Arabidopsis thaliana: one gene and its partner. The protein of the gene in region 1 interacts with the protein of each later gene in a biochemical or structural test. Each region holds a gene or a part of one and is shown in the gene's direction. Other genes may lie near its edges.

Region 1 (9,354 bases):
AACATCTAGATACATTTTAATCCATTCGAAGAACTTAACAAAAAAAAATTTCATACATTATATTACATTCGGTGTGGTACAGATCGCACGGTCAATCAATCTAAAGATCACTTGCGGTGATTGAGCGACGTTGTATGATTTTATCCATACTTCATATTGTTTACTGTTATGATCCATTCTTCACAAGATTGACTAGACGCGATATATGTGCACTCTTATCATCAAGAAGTGAAATATAGCGTATGATTAGATATGTGAATTTAAAGGCTAGTCTTACAAGTTGCTAGCGAATTTGGAAAACTTGTATAGTCGTTTTTTTTTTTCGGTATGATCACCCAACTTTGACGTATCTATTTCAGACACTATAAAAGCATATGTTTCGATTACTGTTTATCCAAATGGAAATGTCTCGCCCAAAACCTCAACATGAAAGTCAGGAAAGTCCAACAACGTAGTTTTCAAGAAGTCACAATATGTCCCTCCTCTCGTGTCACACCACTCCTAGTCCTAGCGAACTAGCTGCATAGTGTAAAATACTTTATATATGAAAAACTTAGACATAAATATATATATACGTGTGCGTGTGTGATGCATGTTTATTGTTTTTTATTCAGGCCTATATGCATTCTACATGTTTTAGATCAAGATGGTGATACAGAGACACTACTAATACAAACACTTGCATAAATCCTCTATGATTATGTCATTCGTATTCATTATTTTAAAAAGAAAATTTACGTCAATACTTGAAATACATTAATTGATATATGTTTTCCTAGTTTTGGAGAAAAGGGTGGTGTTCATATGTTGCAAAACACAAACATGTAAATACAGCAAAGAAGACATAGTGGACCCATGACAAGAAATAAGGCCCAAAAGTTGGGCTAATTTCAGCCATCACGACAAAGGCTACTTCTCATTTCGACATCCATATTATTCTATTCTTGTACACTTCTCTTTCATTCACTCGTCATTAATATGCCTTCAATCTAATATATTTAAGGACACAATTATACACACGTCCATATATAAACTTATATTGTTGCCTTGTTGGATATATATAAAAGTTATTGTAATTAGTAGTTACTAGTTAGAGTAATTTTCAGGTCTAATAGTGATGAGATTAACGTATTTTCTTCTTTAAATTTCAGTTATTTGCAAATAATGTCACTGCTCGATTTCCTGGAATAAAGGAGCTAATAAGAGTATCATGTTCTCCTTCATGTTACCATTTCACGTTTGCACGTTTTTTTTTTTTTTATTATGAACAAGATTACGATCACACGTTCGGTTTGTTGTTTAGTCGTTCCAAGTGTATAGGAGTTTTATCCACACAAAAAAAATTTTGATAGGAATGTGTAATTCCATAAAGATTTCCATCGTTACACACTAAAGTTTTATCTTACGCGCCACGCCGTTTGTGGAGTAACCGAGTAACTAATTTACTACTAGTCTTGATGTTGGTAGGATTAAATAAAAGAATCATGGAGATAGGATACGATTGTGTTTGAATAATTCAATATGTTTATATCTGGAAAGATCTACAAATTTGATATGATCACTAAGATTGTGGGAATTTATTCAAATCCAAAACACATAGTTACAAATCATATACAAATATGGAAAATAAATAATGTCTAATAACATTTGTGTAACATCATCTTTAATGCGAGTCATTTAGAAATGTAACTTTTTTTCTTTCTGATATGTTTATTTCTGGAAATATATACAAAATTGACCTGATCACTAAGATTGTGGGAATAATTCCAAACCAATATAGAAAGTGATAATTTATTAAAAACTGAACATTTGTGTAATCTTTTTTTTTTTTTTTTTAATGTAATGTCAAATTATATTCAAAAAAAACATATACTTTTTTACAACTTGTGCTTCATGTGTAAGAAAGGGAGAGTGCTAAAAAAAATTCTGAAATTGTCCAAAAATGATTAGATCTTTCGTAGAGTCGATGTTGACTACCCCGGGAATGAACCCATTTGTGTAATCTTTTAACATTTATTAAAAACAAATCATAGATAGCTAAGATTGTGGGAAGAATTCCAAACGAAATTAAATTCACACTAACACATTTACTAAAATCATAGATAGATATAGAAAGAAAAAACTTTTCTACTAATTTTTTTGACATTTGTGTACTCATTATAGCGAGAGAAAGAGATGGGCCTCAAAACTTTTATTAGGCCCAAACGTTTTAAATTCATTATAAAAATAAAACAATTCCACGAAAATTTCGAAACCCATCACTTTGGCGCTTATGTGACGCGCTTATTTCGCCCTCAATCTCAGATTATTTAGTCCTCACACTCGTCACACCCCCGCTTCCTAGGGTTTCATTTCGTCTCTTTATCTTCCTTCGTCTCTTTAGCTTCCTTCGATTCTCTGACTCAATCATGGCGCCGAAGCGAAAGAGACCTGCGACAAAGGATGACACTACCAAATCCATTCCCAAACCGAAGAAGAGAGCTCCTAAGCGAGCTAAGACGGTGAAAGAAGAGCCGGTGACAGTGGTCGAGGAAGGGGAAAAGCATGTTGCGAGGTTTCTAGACGAGCCAATTCCAGAATCTGAAGCGAAGAGTACCTGGCCTGACAGATACAAACCGATTGAGGTAATTTCATACATCGGAAACTGGAATTTTGGGTGTTTGTGTATGAAATAGTTAGATCTAGTTGAAATTTGCTGAGATTTGTTGCAGATCTGTTGATTTCTGAAGGATTTTTTGTTTGTTTTGTTTCAGGTACAGCCACCTAAGGCTTCGTCAAGAAAGAAGACGAAGTAAGTTCCTTGAATCCTTTGGTTCTTGTGTATAGTCAGATTGAGAGGCTTTACTTTTGTTTGATTAGAAATGTTTTTTGTTTCGTAAATAGTTGATTAAGTGAATTCGTTTTGTAGGGATGACGAAAAAGTTGAGATCATTCGTGCTCGATGCCATTATAGACGTGCGATTGTTGATGAGCGTCAGATATATGAGCTGAATGATGATGCTTATGTACAGGTATGACTCTATTACGTCTAAATTGCATTTGTTACATTTTAAAGCGTAGATTTATGTGGTACATTGAAGAAAATGAGTTAGAGAGGAGAATGTGCATGACATTGTGTTTCTTGGTGTTTGAGTTTGATGACTATTGAGGTTTTACCACTTTTTTAATGTGCCAACATGGTTTTACTGTGTAGAAAATTTTGATGTGTAGGGTAAATAATTAACCAAAGTTGATCACATTCTCCTCCCTCACCACTATCAACTGTCCGCAATAAATATTTGTGCATTGTCTCTGTTTGTCATGCTTTGTATATCTCCAAGTCCTTATGATAGTAGTTACCTTTCGAAGCTGAGTTCTCATCTGTAACAATAACTAGCTGATTGTTATTTAGACTGGCATTGCATATTATGCATTGGCTATATGAACGTTTATCATGTTGTTTTATGTTTTTCGTACAGCGTAGGTAGATGCTTTACCATATATAACTTCTGTTTTTAACAACTGAGTTTTGTAATTTTTGTGCAGTCTGGTGAGGGAAAGGATCCCTTCATTTGTAAAATCATTGAAATGTTTGAAGGGGCTAATGGGAAACTGTATTTCACGGCTCGGTGGTTTTATAGACCTTCTGATACTGTAAGAATAAAAAAAATCTTCTTCTTCACTTTCTCTTTAATCTATGTTGAATTGTCTGAAGTTTTTTTTCTATTCTTAACTTTCAGGTAATGAAAGAGTTCGAGATTCTGATCAAGAAAAAGCGTGTGTTTTTCTCTGAGATACAAGATACAAATGAATTGGGATTACTTGAAAAGAAGCTGAACATTTTGATGATTCCCTTGAATGTATGTTCTTACTTCACTGTTACTTGTAGTGTATGCTTTTGGTATACAGTATCTTAGTACAATCTTCCATTGATACTGAACTTATTTTTGTTTCTCATGCCAGGAAAATACTAAAGAGACTATCCCTGCAACAGAAAACTGTGACTTTTTCTGTGACATGAACTATTTCTTGCCTTACGATACATTTGAAGCTATACAACAAGGTTAGTGCTTTTAACAATTGATCTTCAAGTTTAGAAACTGCCAACTGGATTAGATAAAATGCTGCAGTTTTTGAAGATAACTAAGCATTTACAGATCTTTCAATTGTGCAGAAACCATGATGGCTATAAGTGAAAGTTCAACAATATCCAGTGATACTGATATAAGAGAAGGAGCTGCTGCCATATCAGAGATTGGAGAATGTTCTCAAGAAACAGAAGGTCACAAAAAGGCAACTTTGCTTGACCTTTACTCCGGCTGTGGAGCTATGTCGACAGGGTTGTGCATGGGTGCACAACTGTCTGGTTTGAACCTCGTCACTGTGAGTCATTTTTGCTTGCTAATAATCTTCTCAGATTTGTTTAATCTCTCAATGCTTAACTTTTGCTTTTTTTTTAAAATGATTCTCAAGAAATGGGCTGTTGACATGAATGCACATGCATGTAAAAGCTTGCAGCATAACCACCCAGAGACAAACGTAAGTTTTTAGTTTTCCTTTCTCCCAATTCGATTGACTACAGAAATTCTCAAGAGCCTAAATCATTTCATTTTAGGTGAGAAACATGACCGCAGAAGATTTCTTGTTTCTGCTTAAGGAGTGGGAGAAGCTATGCATTCATTTCTCTTTGAGAAATAGTCCAAATTCAGAAGAATATGCCAACCTTCACGGTTTGAATAATGTTGAGGACAATGAAGATGTCAGCGAGGAGAGTGAAAATGAAGATGATGGAGAAGTTTTTACTGTTGACAAGATTGTTGGTATTTCCTTCGGAGTCCCTAAAAAGTTATTGAAACGTGGACTTTATTTGAAGGTATTGTTGCTCTGCTTGTACAAATTTCACATTACATCTCATGGTTTAGCCTTGTTATATAGTTAATCATCTCTGGTGTTTTGATATAATAGGTAAGGTGGCTGAATTATGATGATTCTCATGATACATGGGAGCCTATTGAAGGACTCAGGTGAGCAAAACATTAAGAATGTTTGCATTAAAGTTATATATGTTAATGCGTTGTTAAAATCTCTAAATTTGTCCTTGAACAGTAATTGCCGGGGTAAAATTGAAGAGTTCGTTAAACTTGGATATAAATCTGGCATCCTTCCGTTACCAGTATGTATTTTTTATACCTGATTCTTTTGCTTTCCTTAAACTTCTGAAGCTAGTGCATAATTTTCAGATATTTAATCTAAAAGCCAATAATCTAAGTTATTGTATGTGATAAGTTCTATGGGTCTTATGTTGTTCTGCGTCAGTTAATTGTTGAGGGGTGATAGATTTAGTCACAGAACAGTTGATGTTTAGAGCAATATCCTGACATTGTTTATATGTTGTTGATGTTTAGGGAGGTGTTGATGTTGTCTGCGGTGGGCCACCATGCCAAGGAATCAGTGGTCACAACCGCTTCAGGAACTTATTGGACCCTCTAGAAGATCAGAAAAACAAGCAGCTTTTGGTGTATATGAACATTGTAGAATATTTGAAGCCTAAGTTCGTTTTGATGGAAAACGTCGTTGACATGCTGAAGATGGCTAAGGGCTATCTTGCACGGTTTGCTGTTGGACGCCTTCTACAGATGAATTACCAAGTGAGGAATGGAATGATGGCAGCTGGAGCTTATGGGCTTGCTCAGTTTCGTTTGAGGTTCTTTCTATGGGGTGCACTCCCTAGTGAGGTAAAATTCTTAATGTTTTCTCTTTGTTTTATATTAATGAATAGATGCTGTTCTTAATTTGTATCTTTCTGTTTCAGATAATTCCGCAGTTCCCACTTCCAACACATGATCTAGTTCATAGAGGAAATATTGTCAAGGAGTTTCAGGTAAACTGGTATATTAGTACCTTTCAATTTGTTTTAGCAAATTCTCATATTTATTTGTAACTAATGCAGGGAAACATAGTAGCCTATGATGAAGGACATACTGTGAAGTTAGCAGACAAGCTTTTGTTGAAGGATGTGATTTCTGATCTTCCTGCAGTAAGTATTGATGTTTTTAGCAAATTTTGACTAAAATTAGGTACAGTTTGTCTTGAATATTTTCTTACTTCCTATGTTTTTGTATTAGGTTGCCAACAGTGAAAAAAGAGACGAGATTACATATGACAAAGATCCCACAACGCCATTTCAAAAGTTCATCAGATTGAGAAAGGATGGTAAGATTCTTATTATTTTTTTGGGCAAACAGTGTAAAAACATATATTTGACAACTATTATGGCAACTGATGTTCATTAACAAATTGTTTCTGAATTTTTTCAACAGAAGCGTCAGGTTCACAATCAAAGTCCAAGTCCAAAAAGCATGTCTTATATGATCATCACCCTCTTAATCTTAATATAAATGACTATGAACGGGTTTGTCAGGTCCCCAAGAGAAAGGTACAACTTTCTTTATACTCGATTGACGATCATATATTTTTTTGGCTCTGGTCTGTTTTAGTGTCTAGGAATATTCTGATTATTTCAAAACATCTTTTGGTATCAGGGAGCGAATTTTAGGGACTTTCCTGGTGTTATTGTTGGACCTGGTAATGTAGTCAAGTTGGAAGAGGGAAAGGAAAGGGTCAAACTTGAATCTGGAAAAACATTGGTAAGAATGATCATCTCTTTTTTTTGGTCTCATATCAAGTTACTTTTCTCCTGATTGGCTGGCTATGTTATTCAAACAGGTTCCCGATTATGCCTTAACATATGTCGATGGGAAATCATGCAAGTGAGTTTTAATTCTCTTTTCTTCGTCTCTGAAAATTCTGTATTTGACTATTGTTTTCTGTTATGGAAATTGACTTAAGCCCTTCGCTGTTTCCAGACCTTTTGGTCGTCTTTGGTGGGACGAAATTGTCCCCACTGTTGTCACACGGGCAGAACCCCACAACCAGGTGAGACCTCTCATGACAATCAAGTATTTGTTCTGAATTTTGGCTAGTTGTTATTCTAGTGTTCTAGGTTTGCATAGATTTATTAGTATGCATGTTACACTGGAACCAACTTAAAGAGTATAATTGTTTGATGTTGCTGGTGATTGATTGCAGGTGATCATTCATCCAGAGCAAAATCGGGTTTTATCCATTCGAGAAAATGCGAGACTCCAAGGCTTTCCTGATGACTACAAACTCTTTGGCCCACCCAAACAGAAGTGAGTATTGTTAAGACCTTGAGTTTATGTGTGTTCTTGGTGGATTTATTGCTGCTATAGTTCTTAAGACTAATCTTACATAATTTCTGTTTTTCAGGTACATTCAAGTAGGTAACGCTGTAGCTGTGCCAGTAGCGAAGGCCCTTGGATATGCTTTGGGAACAGCTTTCCAGGGACTCGCAGTTGGGAAAGATCCACTTCTTACTCTGCCTGAAGGTTTTGCATTCATGAAGCCAACTCTTCCTTCCGAGCTTGCATGAACACTGTTGATTCATCGCATTTTTCGATTTATCTTCTATTCATTGTTTTCCTAGGATTTATCTTTAGACCATTTGCTGCGGAATTTGGATTTGTTTTGTTTAAGTTTCACGACTTTCAAGTTTAGCAACTCTGAATTTCTGGTAACTTTGTTTTAATCAGATGTTATGGATTTGTGGGATTCTCGTTCTTTTTGTCTAAGAAGAGAACTCATCTTCGGTTCGGTTTTATTACTGTTTCTTGATTAAAGGCAATGTTGGATTCGTTCGGCTACAAAAACTTTGTGCCTTTTAAGATATGGTCCATTTAATAATAGGCCGAACTGCAAATGTGATCTGTTTTGGTAAACATTTTGTGCCTCTTATGAATGAATTCAAGTTAGGCCTATTATTAACTGTACCCTATCTTTTTCAATTCAGTAACTTTCAATTCTACATAAAACACACTATACATTCTTAAGCGGGAAAAAAGTTTTTGGCCTAACGTACTTGAATTCATTAACTTACAATTCTACATAAAACGCTATACATTCCTTTTTCGATGTGGTAAATTGTTATTAAGAATGAATAAAACCATACAAAAATAAGCATCAAAGTAATAAGTTAGCAGAATTGTTAAAGACTTGAAGTAAAACAAATACTTTTACTAGAATAGAGAACAAACCAATGTTTATGGATCATAGAAAAGACTATAATATAACACTCACTAGTTAATCAAATTGCATAGAATACAAGAATGGTCCACTACTCGAACATCGTCGTTATTGTCGGGCATGGTCTATTAATAATACAAATGCATCATCGATTAAGTTGATTAGTTATATTACTTTACTTTCCGAGAACTTCCTAGTTAAATCCAACACGCTATAATATTGATAGTGTGAAGATTGTAATAAAACGGATACCTAGTTCCTATCAATATGTTAATGTCCATTAATATATTATCTTCACCTAATTATAGATCTTATGGCCTAATCACTAGTTTTAAATACTAGTCTGAATTTTAGGCTAAAGAAAGTGAAAATATCACGTTATATGTTGAGTTTATGTAACTAATAAAAATAGATTGAATGACTCGGACAGACGTGGACGTCCCTTTTGTATCTTTCTCGGATATAATCAAATTAGTGGTTGTATGCAATAGTTTCTTCCAATAAATTGACCGATCTCCTTTTATATGGATCTGAACTAATTATCTATCTTTAATTCAATGAGTTGATGATGTTTAACAAGTTTAAATCTGAATCTATACATATATGACAACAAAAACTTCATGATAATCTATTCAACTTCCCATCATGTCTTCATATTCACAAAAAGTATACTCACTATTTCAAAATATAAGATGTTTTAAAGCCATTTTATTTTGTTTCATTTATAAGATGTTTTGCTAGTTTCTATACAATTTTAAATGTATTTGATAACTTGTTACAATTTATATTCTCCTGTTTTTTCCATGATTGGTTAAATAAAAATAATATTTTTGAAAGAATTAATAAGAAATTATCCAATATGTGTGTTTATACCTTAAAAAAATAAACTTAAAATATATGGAGTAATAATTATATAAAAACAAATAGATTCATTCATCGTTCTTTAAATTAATATTTACTTGTTCTATTTGGCATTTTGGTAACCAAAAAAAACAAACGAGACACGTACGGTATGATTGTTTAGTTATCACATTTTATTCTGGCTTATTTAAAAACTAATGTATTTGAATGTTTATTGTACGTTGGCAAGTCCCTGTTAATCCGAACAGCGCAAAAATCCAAAACAAAAAGGAAAGGCGTGTGGAGTTTTGCTCAAGTGGTTGAGTCACCAACAATGCCTTGCCTTCGTTCCTACTCTCAAGTTGTATGATTTTTCTCCTAAAAAGATCAGTGTAAGCATTAAATTCCTTTGTTCTAGGTCTTTTTTATTGT
Region 2 (7,793 bases), on another chromosome or scaffold:
CCACATAGAAAGCAGCAAACTAAATGACAATTATGATTTAAGAGCAAAGATAGTGACAGTGTAAATTAAGTCCACTCTTCTTTGACCTTAAGGTAATAATATATATATGGATGAGGTGATACTAATAGAGTGATTACACATACAAGTGGTCTTGCTTCTTCTATGGTTTTAAAACTGCAAATAAAGATTTGCTTCGCAGGAGAGATAGCGCCATCACCTCTTCTAAGAAGTTAACTAGTGGTGACGGTATCTCTCCTACGTAGCAATCCTTATATATGCATCTTAATACGGAGAGATCAAGGTATTTCAGTTGTTCAATAATCACCCTCTAACAAAGATGCATCTTAATATTCATAAACTATTCTCTTTCTACTTACATAGTAACACCATAAAAACAATGAAACTGCTCCGTAGAGGACCTTGGTTTGAGCCTCTAGATCGTCTTCTCTTACCTAAAATGATAATCTGTTCCAAGATAGGTTCTTGCTATTTGCTCAAATATGTTTTGGTCTTTTGAATGTTAGCTCAGCAAGGAGCTCACATGATTAGCAGCACATCCTCAGCCTGAAAGTTTCAAGAAAAGCTTTATCAATTTAAGAGTTGTGTACGTTTGCAGAATTCTCACAAGTTTGGTTTGATTCTCACCCACAAGAAAAAAATGTCTTTTCTTTTACTTTCGATATGTTTCTTTGCCTTTGACAAGGGACATATAAAAATGTTAAGACGAAAAGGTTGACAAATCTTTGAAAACTATCCACATCATGAACTCAAGATATCTCATTCCATTAGAAGCAAAAAAAATATCAAGTCAATGAGACCAGCTCACGACTACTCTAGAATCTTCATTAAGCAGAACAAGGAAAATCTATAGGTCTAATTAAACCTTTTTTTAATATCTCGGGTTAACACCAAATTTGGTTCAAACTCGACAAGTCATTGTTCAAAACACAGCATCCAAAAAGATAAAAAGCCAAATCTTATCACCAGAAGTCCACCACTAATTGGTATATAATGTTTTTTTTTGTATGTAGAAATAGTGTTGAAGAAAGAGCTTCATGCTATTTGATATCTATAATATCTCATTTCTTGTAACAAATGAACTCCACACGGAATGAAGCTTTTTACATATAGAAAGAACATATAAATGTGTCCAATATCTAATTTGGTCCACGTATCAATTTGCAAGATCACATGCTTACGAGACCTCAAATATTTGGTGGATATATAAGATAATTTCCCACATGTTTTACGAACCATCCCGTAATGAGTATGAATTATCCGGTCTAGCAATCCATTCGATAGATTTACTAGTTGAAACTTGAAAGTAGGGTTTTGCTCACTTGTATCCTTTATTCGTAGTTTAACTATAATGCACATATGGAAGAATTGAGCCACAATTCTCAATGAATTTAGCGAGGGTGAGAAATGTCAATTCAATGTACATTCTATGTCAATTCAATGAAAACAAATGAAGAAAAGAGACATGAAATATGTTTCCAAATTCTTACTTAGAAGAATTAGAATCAAATAATACAATATCTACATATGCCATGAGAGACATATGGAAAACCATGTTTTCGGATGATAAACTTCCAAATTGATTTGATATATACTATAAACCGGCAAATAAACAAATTGAGGTTAAAATATAACAAACCGGTCCGGTCTGATCGAACGGCTGATGTCATAAAACGTGGGGAATATTCGATTAAAATAACAAAGACTCCGTTACGGTCGTAAATAAGTGGTGTGAGAACCGAAAGTCAAAAACACGTCAATATTGGTGGGGGGGACGACCGTGCACGTGACCACACAGGAACTAAACCCGGACGTATTGCGCGAAAATTAAACCGGATTTGATAATCGGCGACTCGTCCGGCAACCCTTGTTTTGTTTTCGTCTCGGCGGATCGATTTTTCTTCGTCTGGGTTTGGTTGTCTTTTTATTTTCCTCTTCCTTGGCCAAAGAAAATCTTATCGTAGCTGTGAAAACCCTAGTTTCTAATCATCTCAATTCTCTCATTAACCTATCAATTTCGATAGGGTTTGATCAAGTATCCGATTTCATGGTTTGTATTTTCCGTTTAATAGTCTTTAAAGGTCTTGTCTTTTGGAATTTCAAGGGTTTTCGTTTCAGTAACTCCTTCTTTTTTTTCTGTTAATTTAGATCGGTTGCTGTATGGAGACTAATTGCTGGAGTTTAGGTTCGTGTGTTTTGAACTGAGCTTTTGGTTCTTGTTTGTGTCTGGTGTTGAAGACATGGATTTGGAAGCTAATTGTAAGGTATTATTGTCTGAAAGATCTATGGATGCTTGTTGGTTTATAATTTTTGTTGATTTGAACTTGTTATGAATGTGTTGATTGGTATATAGAGTGGATGTTTCAAAAAAGCTTTGCTTTTCCGTTTTGTTTATGATCTAGATTGTATTGCTGGGAGTAAAAAACGATCCTTTATCTCATAAGGGTTTTGGATTATGGTTCGTGGTTGCTGTTATTGAATTTAGTCTTGCTCTAGTTAAGCTTAACGTTGTGTTTTTGTTGTGGGTTGCAGGAAAAACTTTCATATTTTCGGATAAAAGAGCTCAAGGATGTGCTCACTCAGCTGGGACTTTCGAAACAGGGAAAGAAGCAGGTTAGTATCGTTCTCTAATCTTCCATTGGTCGTGATTATGTTTGTGATTGTTTTGGAATGATTATAGTAGAGAAGATGATGTTTTGGGTGATAATTATTGCTGTCTTGAGCTATATAGCAGTTTCCAAGATAAATCTAAGACATTACCTTGCAAAGAGTGTTATCTGTTTTATTCTTTCACCAAAAAATTTAACTTCTTTTTGAAATTTTCTTGTGCAGGAACTTGTCGACCGGATCTTGACCCTTCTTTCTGATGAACAAGGTTATATGAACCACTTGCTTTTGTTTATTCACGTTTTGGTGTATTAAGAGTCACTGCTAGCTCTGCCATCTTCTTCTAATAAGCTTCCGTTTTCATTCCCTACTGACAGCTGCCAGGTTGTTGTCTAAAAAGAATACAGTGGCAAAGGAAGCAGTTGCCAAATTAGTGGACGATACATATAGGTGAGTGCTCGTTTCTTTCAATAGATTTCTTAGGAGATGCCATGCTTTTTGTGGCGGTTCTTTGTTACCATTAATTTTATATTGTGTTCCATAGGAAAATGCAAGTATCTGGGGCAAGTGATTTAGCATCAAAAGGACAAGTGAGTTCAGATACCAGTAATCTGAAAGTTAAGGGAGAGCCTGAAGACCCCTTCCAACCAGAAATTAAAGTTCGATGTGTTTGTGGAAACTCGCTAGAAACAGACTCAATGATACAGGTAATCTGGGATGAACTCACTGCGTTTATTCCTGTTTGAGCTGACTGTAGACAATTTCTTTGTATTTTATGGTCGATGGTGTGATGTATTTATCATTGATTACATTTGTGAAGTTTGGTGATACTTTCTGGCTGTAATTTTTGTTTTTTTTCTTCCGATTTCAGTGTGAGGATCCAAGATGCCATGTTTGGCAGCATGTTGGCTGTGTTATTCTCCCAGATAAGCCTATGGATGGGAATCCACCACTTCCGGAATCATTTTATTGTGAAATCTGCCGACTTACTCGAGCTGACCCGTATGTGTTTCAAGGATTTTACTTTTCCTGTCTGAGTTTAAGTTTGATATGTGATTGATTTTCCATCTGAGTTCCTCCCTCACTGCTTTATGATTCTTTCCTGCCATAACTGAAAAGAAAGACATATTTATACATTTGACATGCTTTGCATTCTAGTTTCTTTGCGTTTGATTGTTCTTCTTCTTCTAGTACTGTTTTCATAGTTGTCAATTTTCTTTTATATATTATTTCCTATCTTTACATTAGCACCTGTGGATATCCTATAGCATGATTATTCACGGTTTTCCTACATGGTTTCCTTGTTCAGATTTTGGGTTACAGTGGCACATCCACTCTCTCCAGTGAGGCTGACTGCAACGACTATCCCAAATGATGGGTAAGAATTTTATATTCTTGATATTGCTATTGCTTTGAACGAGTGTACTTTCAGTGCCATTATTGTGTGAATTGGTACTTTATAAGTCACTTTGACTTTAAATTTTCTACTTGGAACTGGTATAAGACATTCATTCTAGTTTCAAGAATGACAATTGTTTCCTGGCTATATGCATAGCACCTGCTGAAGAAATACTGTTACTGGCTTTTGTTTGTACTAATACTCCGATCCAAAACTTTTCAGTGCAAGCACAATGCAGAGTGTGGAGAGAACATTTCAAATCACAAGGGCAGACAAGGACCTTTTGGCCAAACCAGAGTACGATGTTCAGGTTGGGTTTTGTAAACTACATTTAATATGTCAAGGTGTATCTACCTATACGTTTCTAACTGGAAATCAATTTTGTTTAGGCTTGGTGTATGCTCTTGAATGATAAAGTTCTCTTTAGGATGCAGTGGCCTCAGTATGCTGATCTGCAGGTCAATGGTATGACAATGACATCGACCAGAGTTTTAGTCGGTTGAGCATTTCCTTTGAAACAGGGGAATGTTGTTTTATTTCATGTTGCATAAATTCCTGTGGGCACATTCCATTCACATTCACATTGTCTTTATTTGTCTGTTATTCTGATCATACTCAATAAGACTGTGTATGTTTCTGATGTGGGATTCATGATATATACCCTATCATTTCATAGGTGTGCCTGTACGTGCAATTAATCGACCTGGAGGACAGCTTTTGGGAGTCAACGGCCGCGACGATGGACCCATTGTGTGTTTTTTATCATCCCTTTTGAGTAGTAACCCTTTTGAATTACATATAGGAGTCAATCTCTCATACATTGAAAATCTAGCAATCAGTGATGTAAGTTTTAACCATTTCATTTTACTATTTTGGCAGATTACATCTTGTATTAGGGATGGAGTTAACAGAATATCCTTGAGTGGAGGTGACGTTCGGATTTTTTGTTTTGGGGTCAGACTTGTGAAGCGCAGGACTCTACAACAGGTACTGATAACATATATGCATAAGAAACATTCAAAGATTTGGTCGTATATGTGGTCAATGAAGAGTCCAAACATAAATGTTCAAAAAGGAACGAAATTAATATTCTGAATACAAAAAGAAAGAATAAATTATGTTGGCGTACCCAAGAAAGTAATTTTGTGGAAGTTACCTGTGGTTACACACTTACGTTAAACTATTCCCATGTTATTTCCCACTCCCACTAAATCTAGAAAAGTTAGTCAGATTTCAAATTTCACAGTCCTATTCTTCTTCCTATATTTCACGTATATGAGCCACTGAGCCTGGCCTTGTATGAGATTTGGTTACGGAAGTGTAGTCTGTCCTTGTGCTGCAACATTTATCCCTTTAATCAATATATTTATCACTTTTGTTGGTGTTCTTGTATACAGAGGAATTCATATTGTACGTTAATGATCTAATGATCTCCAAGTTGCTTATATATATACTCATTTTTGCATCTAGGTTCTAAATTTGATTCCAGAAGAGGGTAAAGGGGAGACTTTTGAAGATGCTCTTGCACGTGTCCGCCGATGCATTGGAGGTGGAGGTGGAGATGATAATGCCGACAGTGATAGTGACATTGAAGTTGTTGCTGATTTCTTCGGTGTCAATCTTCGGTGTCCTGTAAGTTACTAATAGCTCGTAGCCCAGTTTTTATACTTATCCTCTTCCTAGGGCTATCTTGCAGACTGAATTTTTTTTATTGTCTTTTCTGTTTGCGTCATTAGATGAGCGGTTCTAGGATAAAAGTTGCTGGGAGATTTTTACCCTGTGTGCACATGGGCTGTTTTGACCTTGATGTGTTTGTGGAGTTGAATCAACGTTCCAGAAAGGTAGGTCTACTATCCTTGTCTAGATATTGGGTTATGTCTCTTGTTTTCTGACTTTAGTTGTTCTGGGGTTTGTTAACATGCAGTGGCAGTGCCCTATTTGTCTGAAGAACTACTCAGTGGAGCATGTAATCGTCGATCCTTATTTTAACCGTATCACGTCTAAGGTATGTATTCTTATGGGAATTCAAGAATTCTTAAAATCTTTGTATCTACGCTTTTATTCAGTAGTTGTCTTCCTGCACGACAGATGAAGCATTGTGATGAAGAGGTGACTGAAATTGAAGTGAAACCTGATGGTTCTTGGCGTGTAAAGTTCAAAAGAGAGAGTGAGCGAAGGGAACTGGGGGAACTCTCACAGTGGCATGCACCTGATGGTAGCCTTTGCCCCTCTGCTGTTGATATTAAACGGAAGATGGAAATGTTACCGGTTAAGCAAGAAGGTTACTCAGATGGTCCAGCCCCGCTAAAACTTGGAATAAGGAAGAATCGTAATGGCATTTGGGAAGTTAGCAAACCTAATACAAATGGATTATCTTCCAGTAATAGGCAAGAAAAGGTTGGGTATCAGGAGAAGAATATTATACCAATGAGTAGTAGTGCTACTGGAAGTGGTAGGGATGGTGATGATGCAAGCGTAAACCAGGATGCTATTGGAACTTTTGACTTTGTAGCCAACGGCATGGAACTTGATTCCATTTCCATGAATGTTGATTCAGGTTATAACTTTCCTGACAGAAACCAATCTGGCGAGGGTGGAAATAATGAAGTCATCGTTCTGAGTGATTCTGATGACGAGAATGATTTAGTGATCACTCCAGGGCCTGCATACAGTGGTTGTCAAACAGATGGTGGACTTACTTTTCCACTGAACCCTCCTGGAATAATTAACTCATATAATGAGGACCCACACAGCATAGCTGGGGGAAGTTCAGGCTTAGGTCTTTTCAATGATGATGATGAATTTGATACGCCCCTTTGGTCATTTCCTTCTGAAACTCCAGAAGCCCCTGGGTTCCAACTATTTAGATCTGATGCTGACGTTTCAGGAGGTTTAGTTGGTTTGCATCATCATAGTCCACTAAACTGTTCTCCTGAAATAAATGGAGGTTATACCATGGCTCCTGAGACATCAATGGCATCTGTTCCTGTGGTTCCTGGCTCTACTGGCCGATCTGAAGCAAACGATGGCCTAGTTGACAATCCTCTTGCATTTGGTAGAGACGATCCCTCACTTCAAATATTTTTGCCAACAAAACCAGATGCTTCAGCTCAGTCGGGTTTTAAAAACCAAGCTGATATGTCAAATGGTCTCCGTAGTGAAGACTGGATCTCGCTTAGGCTAGGCGATAGCGCCTCTGGGAATCATGGAGATCCTGCAACTACAAACGGGATTAACTCAAGCCATCAGATGTCTACGAGGGAAGGTTCTATGGATACTACAACAGAGACTGGTTTGTTCCCTGTCTGAGACTAATGCTTTCCTGAAAACATCAAAGGGACCTAAAAATGTGGACCATGTTCTTGATGTTGCATTACCTTTTTCATCACTTTACTAAGCTGCTAGCTAGGTCTTATAAACAACTGAAGAAGAAATATCTGTTTTAGTTTCTATGTGGCGTATTTTGTCTTTGAATATGCTACTTTATATATGTCCATAGTCCATGTGGTATACTTACTGACTATTACTGCGTATTTGCAGCGTCGTTGCTTCTGGGTATGAATGACAGTAGACAAGACAAGGCAAAGAAGCAAAGATCAGATAATCCATTTTCATTTCCTCGCCAGAAGCGTTCTGTAAGACCTCGGATGTACCTCTCCATTGACTCGGATTCTGAGTAATATTCTTCCTGATTTGTCTGTTCTGTTGTGTCTCTCTTGGGATGATTCGGTGTTCCTTTTGATTCTTAACGCTATGCACAGAACAATGA

Evidence for each region.
Region 2: the proteins of CMT3 (region 1) and SIZ1 form a complex in vitro, tested with the Arabidopsis thaliana proteins (one study listed by BioGRID).

What each region holds. Positions count from the first base shown.
Region 1 is NC_003070.9:26,246,574-26,255,927, reverse strand, and holds CMT3 (chromomethylase 3), read left to right. Parts: upstream 1-2,240; 5' UTR 2,241-2,408; coding exon 2,409-2,624; intron 2,625-2,753; coding exon 2,754-2,791; intron 2,792-2,908; coding exon 2,909-3,011; intron 3,012-3,525; coding exon 3,526-3,633; intron 3,634-3,719; coding exon 3,720-3,839; intron 3,840-3,942; coding exon 3,943-4,042; intron 4,043-4,153; coding exon 4,154-4,362; intron 4,363-4,452; coding exon 4,453-4,518; intron 4,519-4,594; coding exon 4,595-4,852; intron 4,853-4,944; coding exon 4,945-5,003; intron 5,004-5,085; coding exon 5,086-5,152; intron 5,153-5,384; coding exon 5,385-5,714; intron 5,715-5,791; coding exon 5,792-5,860; intron 5,861-5,929; coding exon 5,930-6,016; intron 6,017-6,104; coding exon 6,105-6,192; intron 6,193-6,299; coding exon 6,300-6,415; intron 6,416-6,521; coding exon 6,522-6,626; intron 6,627-6,705; coding exon 6,706-6,749; intron 6,750-6,845; coding exon 6,846-6,915; intron 6,916-7,068; and 5 more. UniProt on the Arabidopsis thaliana protein: Involved in the CpXpG methylation (e.g. CHG cytosine) and in gene silencing. Methylates preferentially transposon-related sequences. Functionally redundant to DRM1/DRM2 to maintain non-CpG methylation. Involved in RNA-directed DNA methylation.
Region 2 is NC_003076.8:24,292,968-24,300,760, forward strand, and holds the start of SIZ1 (DNA-binding protein with MIZ/SP-RING zinc finger, PHD-finger and SAP domain-containing protein), read left to right. Parts: upstream 1-1,793; 5' UTR 1,794-2,068; intron 2,069-2,166; 5' UTR 2,167-2,258; coding exon 2,259-2,282; intron 2,283-2,550; coding exon 2,551-2,631; intron 2,632-2,850; coding exon 2,851-2,893; intron 2,894-3,002; coding exon 3,003-3,075; intron 3,076-3,169; coding exon 3,170-3,332; intron 3,333-3,496; coding exon 3,497-3,627; intron 3,628-3,934; coding exon 3,935-4,003; intron 4,004-4,246; coding exon 4,247-4,334; intron 4,335-4,413; coding exon 4,414-4,489; intron 4,490-4,700; coding exon 4,701-4,774; intron 4,775-4,903; coding exon 4,904-5,011; intron 5,012-5,494; coding exon 5,495-5,656; intron 5,657-5,760; coding exon 5,761-5,865; intron 5,866-5,948; coding exon 5,949-6,029; intron 6,030-6,112; coding exon 6,113-7,316; coding exon of another isoform or gene 7,317-7,333; exon of another isoform or gene 7,334-7,564; coding exon 7,565-7,700; coding exon of another isoform or gene 7,701-7,704; exon of another isoform or gene 7,705-7,785; coding exon 7,786-7,793. UniProt on the Arabidopsis thaliana protein: E3 SUMO protein ligase involved in regulation processes. Mediates SUMO/ attachment to PHR1, a MYB transcriptional activator controlling the phosphate deficiency responses.